2 linked regions of the Stegostoma tigrinum genome follow. The protein of the gene in region 2 purifies or fractionates together with the protein of the main gene of each other region. This does not show direct contact. Links are inferred from orthologs where the notes say so. Each region holds a gene or a part of one and is shown on either strand. Other genes may lie near its edges.

Region 1 (7,186 bases), on a different chromosome or scaffold from region 2:
CGGCAGAAGTGTCGGAGGATGATGCATTGTATCTGGAGGTTGGTGGGGTGGAATGAGAGGACCAGGGAGATTCTCTTCGGGCTGTTATTGCGAGGGCGGGGTGCGGGCAAGACGTTCTCGACCACTGCGGGGGGGGGTGTGGCCCTTCAAGACGGAGGACATCTGGGACGAGCAGGAGTGAAATGCCTCGTCCTGGGAGCAGATGCAGCAGAGGCGAAGGAATTGGAAATAGGGGATGGAATTTTTGCAGGAAGGTGGTGTATTCCAGGTAGCTGTGGGAGTCGGTGGGCATCAGTTTGTAGGTGGTTGCCCACCTGTACTCTGAACAATGCGACCTTCTCTAAAACTATGCTGCTCCCGTTATCTTGTTCCGTGATGCCTTTAATCTCACAATCTCCTTTAATCTTTCCCTGATCTCCCCTTCTGATTCACTTGTCCTTCCTACTTTTCAACATCATAAAATACACTAATTTTCCTCCTCTCTTCCATTTCAAGAGTCAACAGATTTAAAACATTATCTGCACAGTTGATGCCAGAACACCTGAGTTTCTGAAGCACGTCATGTACATGCCAGCTCTTTGAAAGAGCTGATGGGAACTGCAGATGCTGGAGAATAAGCACATCTTTTTTTTGAAAGAGACATGTCACATTGCCAAACATCTTGCTTTAGAAGCAACCTCACACTCAGCATTCCTGATTATTTTATTTTCTTCCTCATGGGCCTCAGAGGTCTTAGCACACCATCACCATGCGTGGACCAAAGCAGCCATATACATGCAACTTAGATGGAACATTACTCATACACTACTTCAACCAATCCAAACATCATTTCCTCAGGTGTTTACCTGATTTTCCCGTGGTATCTATTTATCACAATGATTTTGTGCACTTTCTGCATTTTAACCAAACTAAAGAAACTTCCAATTTGTTACTAAGTTTATGGGTAACAATCTTAAATTCACAGTCCCTAATTTGGGTCTTACTCCAGAAACAGAACATTCCCGACATTTATCCCATCAAACCTTTTAATAATTTTAAGGTCAAGTAACTTACAAAAAGATGTTCAACACAGCAGGCCAGGCAGGATCAAAGGAGCAATAAAGTTGACATTTCAGGTTGGACCCTTCTTCAGAAATGAACCTTGTGGATTTGTTTGGGAAGCCAATCTGTTCTTTTATCTGTTAAGATACTCCTTTAGCTACAATCTTCGGATGCCTTTGGAAGGAAGCTTTATTCTCAGTCAGACTCCCCCATTTCTGAAGAAGGGTCCAGACCCAAAATGTCAACTTTCCTGCTCCTCTGATGCTACCTAGCCTGTTGTGTACCCCCAGCTCCACAGTGTGTTATCTCTGACTGCAGCACCGGCAATTCTTACTATCTCTTCAGCACTGTTCAATCCTTTTTTATGATTTATTATCTAATAGACCAGCATCACCCTTCTTAATCTTGCACCCTTGAAAATTTCAATTTAGCAACAATAGAAACAATGGTTGATGAGGGAAAATGAGCTTCTAACAGGTAATGCAGAGATTATAGGAAGGTAGCAACTTAGAACATCAAATTACTTCGCAAACAAATGGAATTGACGGCAGTCAAATTCTAGGACCTAATAGCCTACATCCTATCGTCTTATAGTGTGTGCAGCAGTGGATCCATTGGTTATAACATTCTGAAATTCTCTGGATGCAGAAAAGGTTCCAATGGAGTGGAAAAATATTAATACAATTCCCTTTTCTTTAACCAAGAGAGGGAAACAGAAAAAGTAAGAAATTACACATCAATTACTAAACCACTTGTCATTGGGGAATTGTCAGAATCCATTACTAAGAAAGTAATAAAAGGACATTTGAAAAATCAAAACCCAATCCATCAGAATCAACATGGTTTTATGAAAAGTAAATCTGGTTTAATTATTTTGTTAGAGTTCTTTGAATCAGTAGAACCAGTCTGGATAATGGGGATCCTGTAAATGTAATACATCTGGATTTCCAGGATTACGTATTTGATACGGAAGGGTTTAGAGGGATATGGGCCAAATGCTGGGAAATGGGACTAGATTAATTTAGGATATCTGTTCAGCATGAATGAGTTGAACTAACGGATCTGTTTCCAATTCAATTACTCTAACAAGGAGACTTGATTGAAACATGCAAGGTTCACAGAGGGGTTGATATGGGGATGTCACTTTTCCTTGTGGGAGAGCCCAGAGCCAGGTAATAATATCAAGGGGTCACCCATTTCTGACAAGGAGAAATTTTCGTCAGAGGGAGACGAATTCTTCACCAGAGGGCGGTCGCAATGGGCCATTAAGTATATTCAAGGCTGAGATGGGTTGTTAATCAGTTAAGGAATCAAAGATTATGTGGAAAAGGCAGGAATGTGGGATTGAGGATTCCATAATCGCCTTGGATGGCAGAACAGACTCGATGGGATGAATGACCTATTTCTGCTCCCACGAATAACAGAAACCGAATAGTGAAATTAGGTGTCCTTAACTAGTCAGGGCATGCGATGAGATCAGAGGGAAGATCATTTGATGAGACCTCTAGCATTGGGGTGCGGGGAGGTGGGGATCAGAATCTGCAGCTGCCCTGCGCCTCTCGGTCGAACCTGTGTAAACTGAAACCATTCCAGTGTGTTTTCAAATTTGCTCTGGCACCCTACAAAACAGCTCGCGCCAATGAGATGAACAAAACGCAGTTGAAATGCTCGTGTTTATTTAGATGGGAGCTCACCTTTCCGTCCGACTTCCGTCTGATCTTCTGACACCTGCCGTAAGAACCGGAGCCGATGCTTTCCAGCAGCTCATAATCTTCCAGGCGGGACGGCATTTTTTCAATACGAAGCGAGCGATAACGAGCATCGATGTACGGGATGGAGTTGAGTGAACAGTGCAGACTCAGCCACTGACACACTCACGTCCCTGTCTCGACGCGTGAAACAGCGTGTGTGTGACTGAGTGAGTGTGAGCGAGACCCTTCGGGCTGGGGTCGAGGAGGTTTCCCACCGGTCCCTGCCGGAAACGCGCTCAACCGACAAGAAGGCATGGGCCAGCCCCCATCCACTGGCTTCCTCAGCTCCATTCCGATTGGTCGATCGGCTTCGGCGTCCCGTCCTATGGTTGGCTCTTGCGAATAACAATCTGTTGCCTTGGCAGCGGCTGGGGGCGCGGGAACAGCGCGCGAAATTTAAATATGATCAGCGTTTGTTCTGGATTTTCGTAGTTCCATGTTTTCCAACTTGTTTTGTCTGTAATTCATGCAGGCAGTTAGTTTGTTGTTAGAGACAAAAATAACCCAAAAGATGCTGCTTGGCCTGCTGTGTTCATCCATCCCCACACATTGTTATCTCAATTTCTAAAGTAATAGATAAATAGAATCAGAATTTTACTATGTTTCTGGGGAAAATATTGGAATTTATTGGAAAAATGAAAAATTTCAGAAGTGTCAAAATATTTCAAAATAACAGTTAAATTAAAAAATAAATAAATAAAAGAAGGGGCCACTAAATACTGGTATTAAGCCTTTTGGTGGTGTAGTTCTTTGAGACAAAATAACCCAGAATGTATGTTGAAGCAGGTTCCTTGCCCAACCTCCATGGAGTCATAGAGATATGCAGTATGTAAACAGATCCTTCAATCCAACTCGCCCATGCCAATCAGATATCCTAAACTAGTGTAGTCCCATTTGCCAGTATTTGACCATATCCCTCTAAACCGTGCCTATTCATATACCGATCCAGATGCCTTTTAAATGTTGTAATTGTACCAGCCTCCACAATTCATCTGGCAGCTCATTCCATACACACACCACCCTCTACATGAAAATGTTGTCTCTTAGGTCCCTTTCATATCATTCCCCTCTCACCTGAAACCAATGCCCTCTAGTTTTGGACTCCTCTGCCCTGGGGAAAAGATCTTGGCTATTCACCCTATCTATGCCCTTCATCATCAGCCATGATTTAAATGGGGAGTGGATTTGATGGGCCGAATGGCCTTACTTCCACTCCTATGTCTTATGGTCTTATGATTTTATAAACCTCAAAAGGTCACTGACAGAAAATAGCCCCAGTCTGTTCAGCCCTTCCCTCTAGCTCAAACACTCCAACCCTGGCAACATCCTTGTAAATCTTTTCTGAACCATTTCAAATTTCACAACATCCTTCCTATAGCAGGGAGACCAGAATTGCATGCAGTATTCCAAAATTGGCCTAACCAATGTCCTATACAGCTGTCACATGACCACCCAACTCCCAAACTCAATGCACTGACCAATAAAGGCAAGCATACCAAAATGCCTTCTTCACTATCCTATCCACCTACTCCACTTTCAAGGAACTACAAAATTGCACTCCAAGGTCTTTTTGTTCAGCAACACTCCACAGGGCCTTACCATTAAGTGTACAAATCTTGCCCTGAATTGTCTTTCCAAAATGCTTCTTGGCCTATTGGCCCATCGATCAAGATCCTGCTGTACTCTGAGGTAACCTTCTTCGCTGTCCACTAAACCTCCAATTTTGGCGTAATCTGCAAATTTACTAACTCATATCTTCTATGTTCCCATCCAAATTATTTATATAAATGACAAAAAGCAGTGGAGCCAGCACTCAATCATAGCCTTCCAGTCTGTAAGGCAACCCTCCACCACCACGCTGTCTTCTACCTTTGAGCCAATCCTGTATCCAAATAAGTAGTTCTCCCTCTATTCCATGTGATCTAACCTTGCTAACCAGTCTACCATGAGGAACCATGTCAAATGCCTTACCGAAGTTCATATAGATCATGTCAGCAGCTTTTAAAACAGTAATTATTGCTCATAGAATTTGAGGAAATGAGCTCCAACACTGAAAATACCTCAAAAAAGGAACAGCTCTTACAGCCACAATATTAGACTTGACGCAATAGATGTCCTGATGGTTTAACTATTCAGCAATTTACATTACAAACAAAAAAGCATAATCTGGGCAATCTCAAATAGTTAAGTGATATTACCCTGGGTGAGGTTGTTGACTTGCCTCCCAAGCCCAAGTTTTCATTCAGCCATTCCATCACCATGCCAGACTAAACTGGGACAACATAACCGTAGTAGCCAAGCCAAACATAGACACATACAACAAACATATAGAATTGGGCCCCATACAGAACAAAACCAGAAATGGCACTACTCACTATAACAGGCCAGACTGTGTAAATTGCAAGCGGAGTAGAACAACATCACTTCATCTGAGGCCTCACTGATGATATTACCGAGCAAAGTATCAAAACATCTGAATGAAAACAAGCCAGCTCGACAAGCAAGTCAACAACCTCACCCACAGTCCAAGCTACAAATCTTTGCTAAAACCTTAAATATTACCTGGAGATTTCCGTGTTCCGTACAATATCTGACAAAACTTGAAATGAGAAGTAGCAACATCTATATTTTCTACTATTGTTCTGGAAAATAACTAACATTAAGAGAAATTCAAATTCTGATAATCACCACTGAAATGTAATTAACTATAGGACTTAGGCAACTTCTAACAATGCCAAATTTCAACATAAAATTTACATTCTAATTACTTACCCGACTTACACACTAACCTTTTGCAATTCAGGTTCAAAGAAATTCTAATCTCTCTTTATTGGAGCTTCTCTCAGTTAAATAATGTTCTGCATTTCTATTCTTCCTGCCAAAGTATACAACCTTACATTTTTCTCATATTATAGTTCCATCTACCAATTCCTTAACCATTCACTTTGCAGACTCTTTGTATCCCTCTTATTATATCAGTCAATAAGACATGAGGGAGAAACAGACCTTTCAGCTCAAGTCTGCTCTAATATTCAATGAGATATGATTGATCTGATAATCCTCAATATTTCCTGCCTTTTCCCCAGAACAGTTGATTCCGTTATTGGTTAAAAATCTATTTATCTCTGTCTTGAATATACTTAACTGTTTTCGGCCTCTATTGCTCTCTACGGTAAAGAATTCCACAAATTAACTACAATCTGAGAGAAGAAATTCCTGCCCATCTCTGTTTTAAATGATGACCCCTTATTCTGAGATTATGCCTTCTGACTCCAGACTCTTCCAAAAGGGGAAATAATCTTTCTGAATCTACCCTGTCCAGGCCCTAAGAATTTTGTATGTTTTAATAAGATTGCCTCACATTCTTCAAAATTCCAATGAGTACAGTCCCTCCTCAACCTCTCCTCACAAGGAAGTGCCTCCATATCCAGGATTAACCTAGTGATCATTCTCTGGAGTGCCTCCAATGTCTTTTTTCAGTAGATAATGGGGTCAAAATATATTACAGCGTTCCAGGTGTGGTATGACTACTGCCTTGTATAGTTTTGGAAAGATGTCTCTATTTTATACTCCATTCTCTTTGAAATTAAGGCCAACACTTCATCTGGCTTCCCTACTATCTTGTATGCTAGCTTTTTTGTGATTTGTGCAAAAGGATTTGTGAAAGAAAATTGTCTTTTCCAGAGGTGGAGGAGTTAAAAACTAGGGGGCATATTTTCAAGGCGAGAGAAAAAAGATTTAAAAAGGACATGAGGAGCAACATTTTTACACAGAGTAGTTCATATGTGGAATGAACTCTTAGAGAAAGTGGTGGATGCTGGTACTGTTACAATGTTTAAAGGACATTTAGATAAGTTCATGAATAGGAAAGGTTTGGAGGGAAGTGGTCTAAGCACAGGCAGGTTGGACTAGCTTAGTTTGGTAACATGGTCGGCATGGACTGGTTGGACTGAAGGGTCTGTTTCAATGCTGCAAGACTCTAAGACTTGCAAGTCATAGTAATTTTCTGCAGTCTTTTTCATTTAAATAATATTCGGCTCTGCCAACTGCCAAATTTTAGCTCATTTGCATAACCAGTATACTTTTAAAGCAACTTAAACAGGTTAGACTGCCCCTGGTTGAGCACTATAACACAAACAAGATAATCGGTCAACTTACAGATCAGAAATGGAATCTTATCAAAAGCAAATCAAAATATCATTACCAGGGTGATGATATACTCCAACCCCTAGGTGCCCACTGGTCTGTAAGGGCCTCCACCATGCCAGTGGTCACCACATGCCTTCTCTTGGTGGACAACCAAACATGGACATAACCACAGAAGAGGGGCAGACAGTCAGGTACTATAAGCCACTCCCTGGACCTGTTGATTGCCAGTTTGGCCAGGCCCAGGG
Region 2 (7,151 bases):
CATCCTGAAGATGAGAATGTCTTAAAGGTAAATGAAACATTTTTAAAAATTAACTCAGGTGAAATGCATACCTAAGTTGACATTCTCTATTCGTGGGTGACCCAAAACACATGAAACTAGTCATTTTAGCAATGTTTCACTTGTTAGCTTTCCTAGAGGGTATTCCGGAACAGATGAATTCTTAATATTTCTTAAGGGTAAGAAAAGAAACCATTTCCTTTCTGCTTGGGAGGCTAAGAAACTGAAAATAATTGTTAAAAGGGCAGTTGGATGTGTTGTTCATTTTAAATCTAAGATAGATACATTTTTGTTAAGCAAAGGCATTAAAGGATATGGGCCAAAGGCAGGTATATGGAGTTAAGTCACGCAGATTTCAAGTGCATAGCTCCCTCAAAGTTGCCACCCAGGTGGATAAGGTTGTTAAGAAAGCATATGGTGTTTTGGCTTTCATTAACAGGGGGATCTGGTTTAAGAGCCGTGAGGTTATGCTGCAGCTCTGCAAAACCCTGGTGAGACCACACTTGGAATATAGTGTCCAGTTCTGGTTGCCCTATTATAGGAAAGATGTGGAGGCTTTGGAGAGGGTGCAAAGTAGGTTTACTAGGATGCTGCCTGGACTGGAGGGCTTGTCTTATGAGGAGAGGTTGACTGAGCTCAGACTTTTCTCTCTGGAGAGAAGGAGGAAGAGAGGTGACCTGATCGAGGTGTACAAGGTAATGAGAGGCATGGATACAGTCGATAGCCAGAGACTTTTACCCAGGGCAGGACTGACTGCCACGAGGGGTCATAGTTTTAAGGTGTTGGGAGGAAGGTATAGAGGAGACGTCAGAGGGAGGTTCTTCACTCAGAGAGTTGTGAGCGCATGGAATAGTTTACCAGTGGTAGTCGTGGAAGCAGAGTCATTAGTGACATTTAAGCGACTGCCGGACATGCACATGGACAGCAGTGAATTGAGGGGAATGTAGGTTATGTCATTTTAATTTTGGATTAGGAATATTCCACGGCACAACATCGTGGGCCGAACGGCCTGTACTGTGCAGTACTTTTCTATGTTCTGTGTTCTATCAGACATGATCTCTCAGAGCGTGGAACAAGCTCAAGGTCCTGAATTGCCTACTCCTATACCTGTGTTTATAAAAGTACACTGGCTGCTTAAACACTGGTTTTTATGGAGGCTGTGGATATCGGATTCTATTTCTTCAATATTTTAAGCAGATACTGTGCAATAAGACTCCTGAAAATGGTATACCCAGAGAATGTTACGTAGACAATGGTTCACAACGGGATACAAAATGTGACAGAGTGGTTCTGAACTGACCTTGCTGGTTTGAAACAAATGCTAGAGGCGAAAAAAAGACTTCTAAACTTAAGTGGATGGATGTAAATCATCAACTGTTTCAGAAAACGAAATGCATGTGCAAAGAAATTGTTAGCAGTCTCAGAGAATGTGGGATTTTGAAATGCAAAGCTTTGCTGTGTATTTTTTGATTTCAGCCATTCGCACGTTGTGTAGGGTAAGGGATTAATACTGTCAATAATTGTTGTCACATACGCAACTTCACACAGATAAGAGATCTATAAAATGCTCTCAACATTTGCTTTGAACAGCCTGAATATTTTCAATGCAATTTCTTTTGAAAATCTGTTAACTGTACATTCATTATTTGCAGGTATTGGGCATTAACTTGGACTTCCTTGCATCCCCACTGAAGAGTCAACATACAGCATATTTCTACGGTATCCAGAAAATCATTTAACCTTATAAGATCAGACTATCAGGCCATCGTCACTTAGCTATTTGTGTGAACTTGTTGCACATAAATTTCTTAATTACAACTGTTGCCATTTCCAGAAGTGTTTCAAACGTTATAGACTTTCTGCACTTTTGCATCCAAAATAAAGCCCAATTCATCTAAAATTGTTACTTATTGCTATTGTTCCCAACCAGCTTTCTAAAATTTCTCAGCAATCTTTTCAGCAGCTCCACATTTTTTGACTCAATCAGATGGAGTAATTATTCAATGACACAGTTAAAGAAACTGAAGCATCATCACTTACTGCTGGATATATTAATATGTCCAGCTTCTACCCCAGCTTTCACAGCTTCTTTCCCCAGGTATCCTGCATCTCCTTTGGAAATCCTCTCTTTCTCCTTCTCTTCAAGGCTTCCATAATAAATCCGAGATTTCTTAGGCAACGGAACATCATCATCATCAGACATTCTTGTAATATGGGGCAGGAAACTGTGGGTGTAGAAAATGCATAAAATTAACAAACCGTTTTGACCAGAGATAAGAGATGAGAAAGACAGGTTGTTTGACTCTAGCTCTAATCTCCAAGTACATGCATCTGCATGCTTAAATTGGGGTGTTGCTCATAGGAATTCTGGTTTTTGATGCCTTGGGAAAGAAGTTGGAACAGGAAGAACTGAACGAGTGTTGATTTCTAGCCCAGGAGAGAGAATCTTTGGATCATGCTTTTGGAGCTTCACAGGAACAAGCAGGAAATGAGAGAGAATCAAAGACAACAGAAGCATCCATGGAATAAAATCAAGAAAGGCTCTGGCAGATGAGAAAAAGGATCACAGAAAATTTGGAACTGTCTCCCCAAATCAAAAGCAATGCACCTTAGGGCAATTTGAGCTATTGAATTAATAAGATCATTATATTGTCAAAGTACCAAGAAAAGTTGAGCAAAGGTAGATCTTGGAGTTGAGGTACAGATTAGCCATAGCATGTCTGAATACATTGATTAAAAAATATCTAAATGAATAGTAAGTGCAATAGGGCTCAAAGGAGTGAATGATCTACTTCTATTCCTAACTACAGATAACAAACAAGTATCAGATGATCTCTTATAAAAAAGTGTGAAGCTGGATGAACACAGTGTGTTCATCCAGCTTCACACTTTGTTATCTTGGATTCTCCAGCATCTGCAGTTTCCATTATCACTCATCAGATGATCTCTTGTTCCTTACAGCAGAAGATGGAAATGTGAAATTATCCACTTTGGTCTGAGTGGCAAAGCTGAACATATTTCAAAAGTAAAAGCAGATGTTGACATTAAGGTGAACTTGAGGGTCATCATACCCATCTTATAAAAGATTAATTTGTAGGTATATTATAGATATTTTGCTTGGGTTTTTAAATGTTATTTGAATATTGAAAGACTAACATTTCCAAATTTGTCAATGATACCAAACTTAGAAACAGTACTAAAGATAACAATGTTACCAATTGCACAGGGTAGCACTGTCTCTCAGCGCCAGGGTCCCGAGTTTGTGGAGATTGCACGTTCTCCCTGTGTCTACACGGGTTTCTTCCGGGTGTTCTGGCTGCCTCCTACTCCAAAGAGGTGTAGGGTGGGTGGGTGCTAAATTGCCCATCAGGGATGTTCCGGTTAGGTGGGTTAGCCATGGGAGATGGGGATGATACGGGAGGGATGCTCGGTGTGGACTCGATGGGCCGAATGCTGGCACACGGTACGAATTCTATGATTCTAACTACCAGTCGGAGAATTGTAGGCCGGCAGATTGGGATTTAACAAGCGATTCATTTTGGAAGAACGGTTTGGGAGAAGGAAATAGATACTTAATGACTCAGTGCTAAAGAGCGCGCAGAGAGACGGGGAGGGGAGAGGACTTGGTGCCAACGTGCACTAAACTCTTCAGGTGGCAGCATACACAGGGCGTGATTAACCAAGCACATGGGAGTTATGAACTCCCTAAATAGAAATGTTGATGGAAAAAGCAGGGGATTTACGGTGAAGTTGAATAAAGTTATGAGCCACAAGTAGAGCATTGTGTGTGATTTCTGATACAGTACAGCCTCCCCTCCCCCACAAGCAGCCACAATGACCGACTTCTCCCCAACCTGACAATATAAAGGCCCGGTTAAGGACGGGGAGTTGACGGCAATAGCCAAGGCCTAGCTTTAGGCTATCTCCTGTCTCTATCTCTCCTTCCCCCAGCCTCAGCGCGGCCTCTTACCAGCTCCTATACCGTCGTTAAGCCGACACTGACTGCGTCCGGGGCAAAGGGTAAGGAGGCGGCGCACAGGCTGCTGGGTGTTGTAGTCATTTCCACGCCGCCGGCTCAGAAACTACATGTCCCAGTGTGCCATGCCGTGGTGACGCCAGGTGTCGCCTGTAAGGTCTGAAGCGACCAAGTTGGACGTGACTTCTAGCGGCAGAATGTTGCGGAGGAAGCCTACTCGGCTCGAACTGAAGCTGGACGATATTGAGGAGTTTGAGAGTATGAAGAAGGAGTTGGAGGTGAGTGTCAAGGTGACAGGAGTTTGGCCAGGGCTGGCGCCAGGTTCGCTCCGACAGAACCTCAGCGGGGCCTAGGCCTGGGCCTGGGCCTCACCGTCCGCCTCCAGAGCCAGACCCACCATCGCCTGGACACGGCACCGACAAAGGGACCTGGAAATCACTTCAGTCAGGCGGCAGGAGACCCGAACCACACCACCACCAACCCCCCCCTCCCCACCACCAACCCCCCCCCCACCACCACCACACACACCACATTCCCCCACCCCCCAACACATACCCCACACCCCCACACCCCACATGCACCCCTGCCACTTGCACACCCCCTGCACTTACTCCCACCACCCCCACCCTGGCACAGGCACTCACACCCAGTGCCCACCCCCCCCATACTGCTGCCACTTGCTCGCACCCCCATCCCCTGCACACGCTTTATATCCTTCCTAGAGCATCTATACATTGGAGCATTAAGCATCCTGCCCTGTCCATCCCTGAGCCACGTCTCTATAGTTGCTATGATATCCCAGTCCCATGTTCCCAACCATGCCCTCAGTTCATCTGCGTTATCTGTTAGGCCTCCTGCATTGAAATAAATGCAGTTTAATTCATCCGTAATAGCTCGTTTTCTGCTTTGTTCCTGACTGTCTGACCTGTTCCTTTTCCCATCTCTACCAGTTTTGGGGACTGTCCTCTTTTCTCACTATCTCCCTAGGAAATCTAGCAAATCTCCCCAGCAGAGTATTAGGCCCTTTCCAATTCAGCTGCAATCCATCCTTATGCAGGTCACTTGTACCCTAGAAGAGATTCCAGTGATCCAAAATTGTGGATCCTCTCCATCACCAGCTCCTCAGCCATACATTTATCTGCTGTATCCTTCTATTCCTATCCTCACTAGCTCATGGCACTGGAAGTATTCCAGATATTACTACCCTGAAGATAACAAAGTGCGGAGCTGGATGAACACAGCAGGCCAAGCAGCATCTCAGGAGCACAAAAGCTGACATTTTGGGCCTAGACCCTTCATCAGAGAGGATGCTCTCTGATGGAGGGTCTAGGCCTGAAATGTCAGCTTTTGTGCTCCTGAGATGCTGCTTGGCCTGCTGTGTTCATCCAGCTCCGCACTTTGTTGTCTTGGATTCTCCAGCATCTGCAGTTCCCATTATCACATTACTACCCTGAAGAACCTTTTTTTTAAAAAATTCCTGCCTGTCCTCTTCAGAATGATTTAAAATTAGGGATATTGAAACTGTATTAGACGTGCAGTGATATTTTGGAGGTCTCAGAATTGGAAAAGGTTATGAACGTCAGGAGGGTCCAGGCTGTGGAGGGATTTGAAAACAATAATGAAGATTTTCTATAATAAAGGTATTGTTTAACTAGTAGTCTGTGTGGGTCAGCTAGTACAAGAGGGATTGGTGAATGCTGTACGTTAGACTGCAGGCATCAGAGACTTCAGTTACCTCAAATTCAGTGTTTAGAATGTGGGAGAGCAGCGAGGAATGCATTACAATAGTCAAGTCTGAAGATAACAAGCATGGATAGGGTTTCAGCGGCAGAAGAGCTGAAGTAGTAATGGAGTCAGACATTGCAACAGAGACGGCAGTAAAACCAAGTTGCTGCAAGAGTTCAAGATAACAAAGGGTGAAGCTGGATGAACACAGCAGGCCAAGCAGCATCTCAGGAGCACAATATCGCTGCTTCCATTTAATCTTGGGTGTCAGAGTAGCAAGAAGGCAAAGTCAAGACAGTGAAGGGTTCAAGTAAGGTAGTAGTGAGATAGATGTGAAACTGATTGCCAAGGGACAGTGTACAGTGAAAAATAGAAGGGGGCCAAAGATAGATCTCTGGGGGACATCTGAGATCACTGTAGGAATGGAAAGAAGTCATTGCCAATGGTTTCCCTGGCTATGATGCAATAAGAATGGGATCAGGCCAGTCTACTCTCACCCACTGGACAACAAAGGAAAGTAATTGGAGGAAGATGGCTACCATGTTGAAAGCCACAGCCAGGATGAAGAAAGATAGTTTACCTGTGGTGTGATCACAGAAGGTGTTGTTTGTGACTTGAATAAGAGCCATTGCAGTGTTGATTGGAAGGATTCAAGTTTTGGAAAAGATGGGCACAGATTTGAGATGCCACAAACACTTCAAAGGATTTTGGAATGGGGATGGTCAGAGATAGGGCAGCAGTTTGCAAGCAGCGGGAATTAAAGGTATTTTTTTGATGAGGGAAATATGATGGCACATTTGAAGGAGAGAGGGTCAGAACCAGAAGAGATAGAACCATTAGTGGTTTTAGTTAATGTGTGAGCAAGGAAGGAAAGTTGGTGGTCAGTAATATAGTGGGAATAGGGCTGTGGGAGTACAAGATGGCTCTTACGAACAAGATGAACTCTGGTGAGCAAAGAGAGGAGAGACATTACAAAGGAAATAAATTTTGGCTGAGAAAGGGAAACCATAGATTCCACAATCACTTTTGGTAAATGTTCCTGCACCATTAGGCTCTTAATGAATATCTGGTTCATTTATTAAACTAATATGGCCTGCCTGCTTGTTGGTTCTAGTGCATATTGTTGTAAAACAACTGCCCTGAACACACTGAAGAAATGTATTGATTTTCTAACATGAGTTTATTTGCTTTGTCCAAGCTAGGTGAGTAAATTACAGGGGACAACGATGCAAGGGGGATATAGACAAGTTGTGAGTAGGCAAACATTTGACAGTTGGAATATAATGTGGGAAAATGTGAGGCTACATGCTTGGGCAGGAAGAAAAGAATATTATTTGAATGAGGAAAGACTACAGAAAGCTGCAGCACAGAGCATTTTAGGAGTCCTCGTGCATGAATCATAAAAAAATTATCAAGTTCAGCTATTAATAGT

The links. The genes of interacting proteins can lie anywhere in the genome.
Region 1: the proteins of cdc26 (region 2) and nek2 purify together in Homo sapiens (affinity purification with mass spectrometry; 3 studies listed by BioGRID and IntAct, with this or other methods). This does not show direct contact. The link is inferred for Stegostoma tigrinum from reciprocal best matches to the Homo sapiens genes CDC26 and NEK2.

The regions. Positions count from the first base shown.
Region 1 is NC_081362.1:54,385,276-54,392,461, forward strand, and holds the start of nek2 (serine/threonine-protein kinase Nek2), read right to left. Parts: upstream 3,045-7,186; 5' UTR 2,832-3,044; coding exon 2,736-2,831; intron 1-2,735. UniProt on the Homo sapiens protein: Protein kinase which is involved in the control of centrosome separation and bipolar spindle formation in mitotic cells and chromatin condensation in meiotic cells.
Region 2 is NC_081382.1:5,537,460-5,544,610, forward strand, and holds the start of cdc26 (anaphase-promoting complex subunit CDC26), read left to right. Parts: upstream 1-4,114; 5' UTR 4,115-4,191; coding exon 4,192-4,272; intron 4,273-7,151. Other genes in the region: prpf4 (U4/U6 small nuclear ribonucleoprotein Prp4), read right to left, coding at 2,059-2,243, 3,234-3,385. UniProt on the Homo sapiens protein: Component of the anaphase promoting complex/cyclosome (APC/C), a cell cycle-regulated E3 ubiquitin ligase that controls progression through mitosis and the G1 phase of the cell cycle.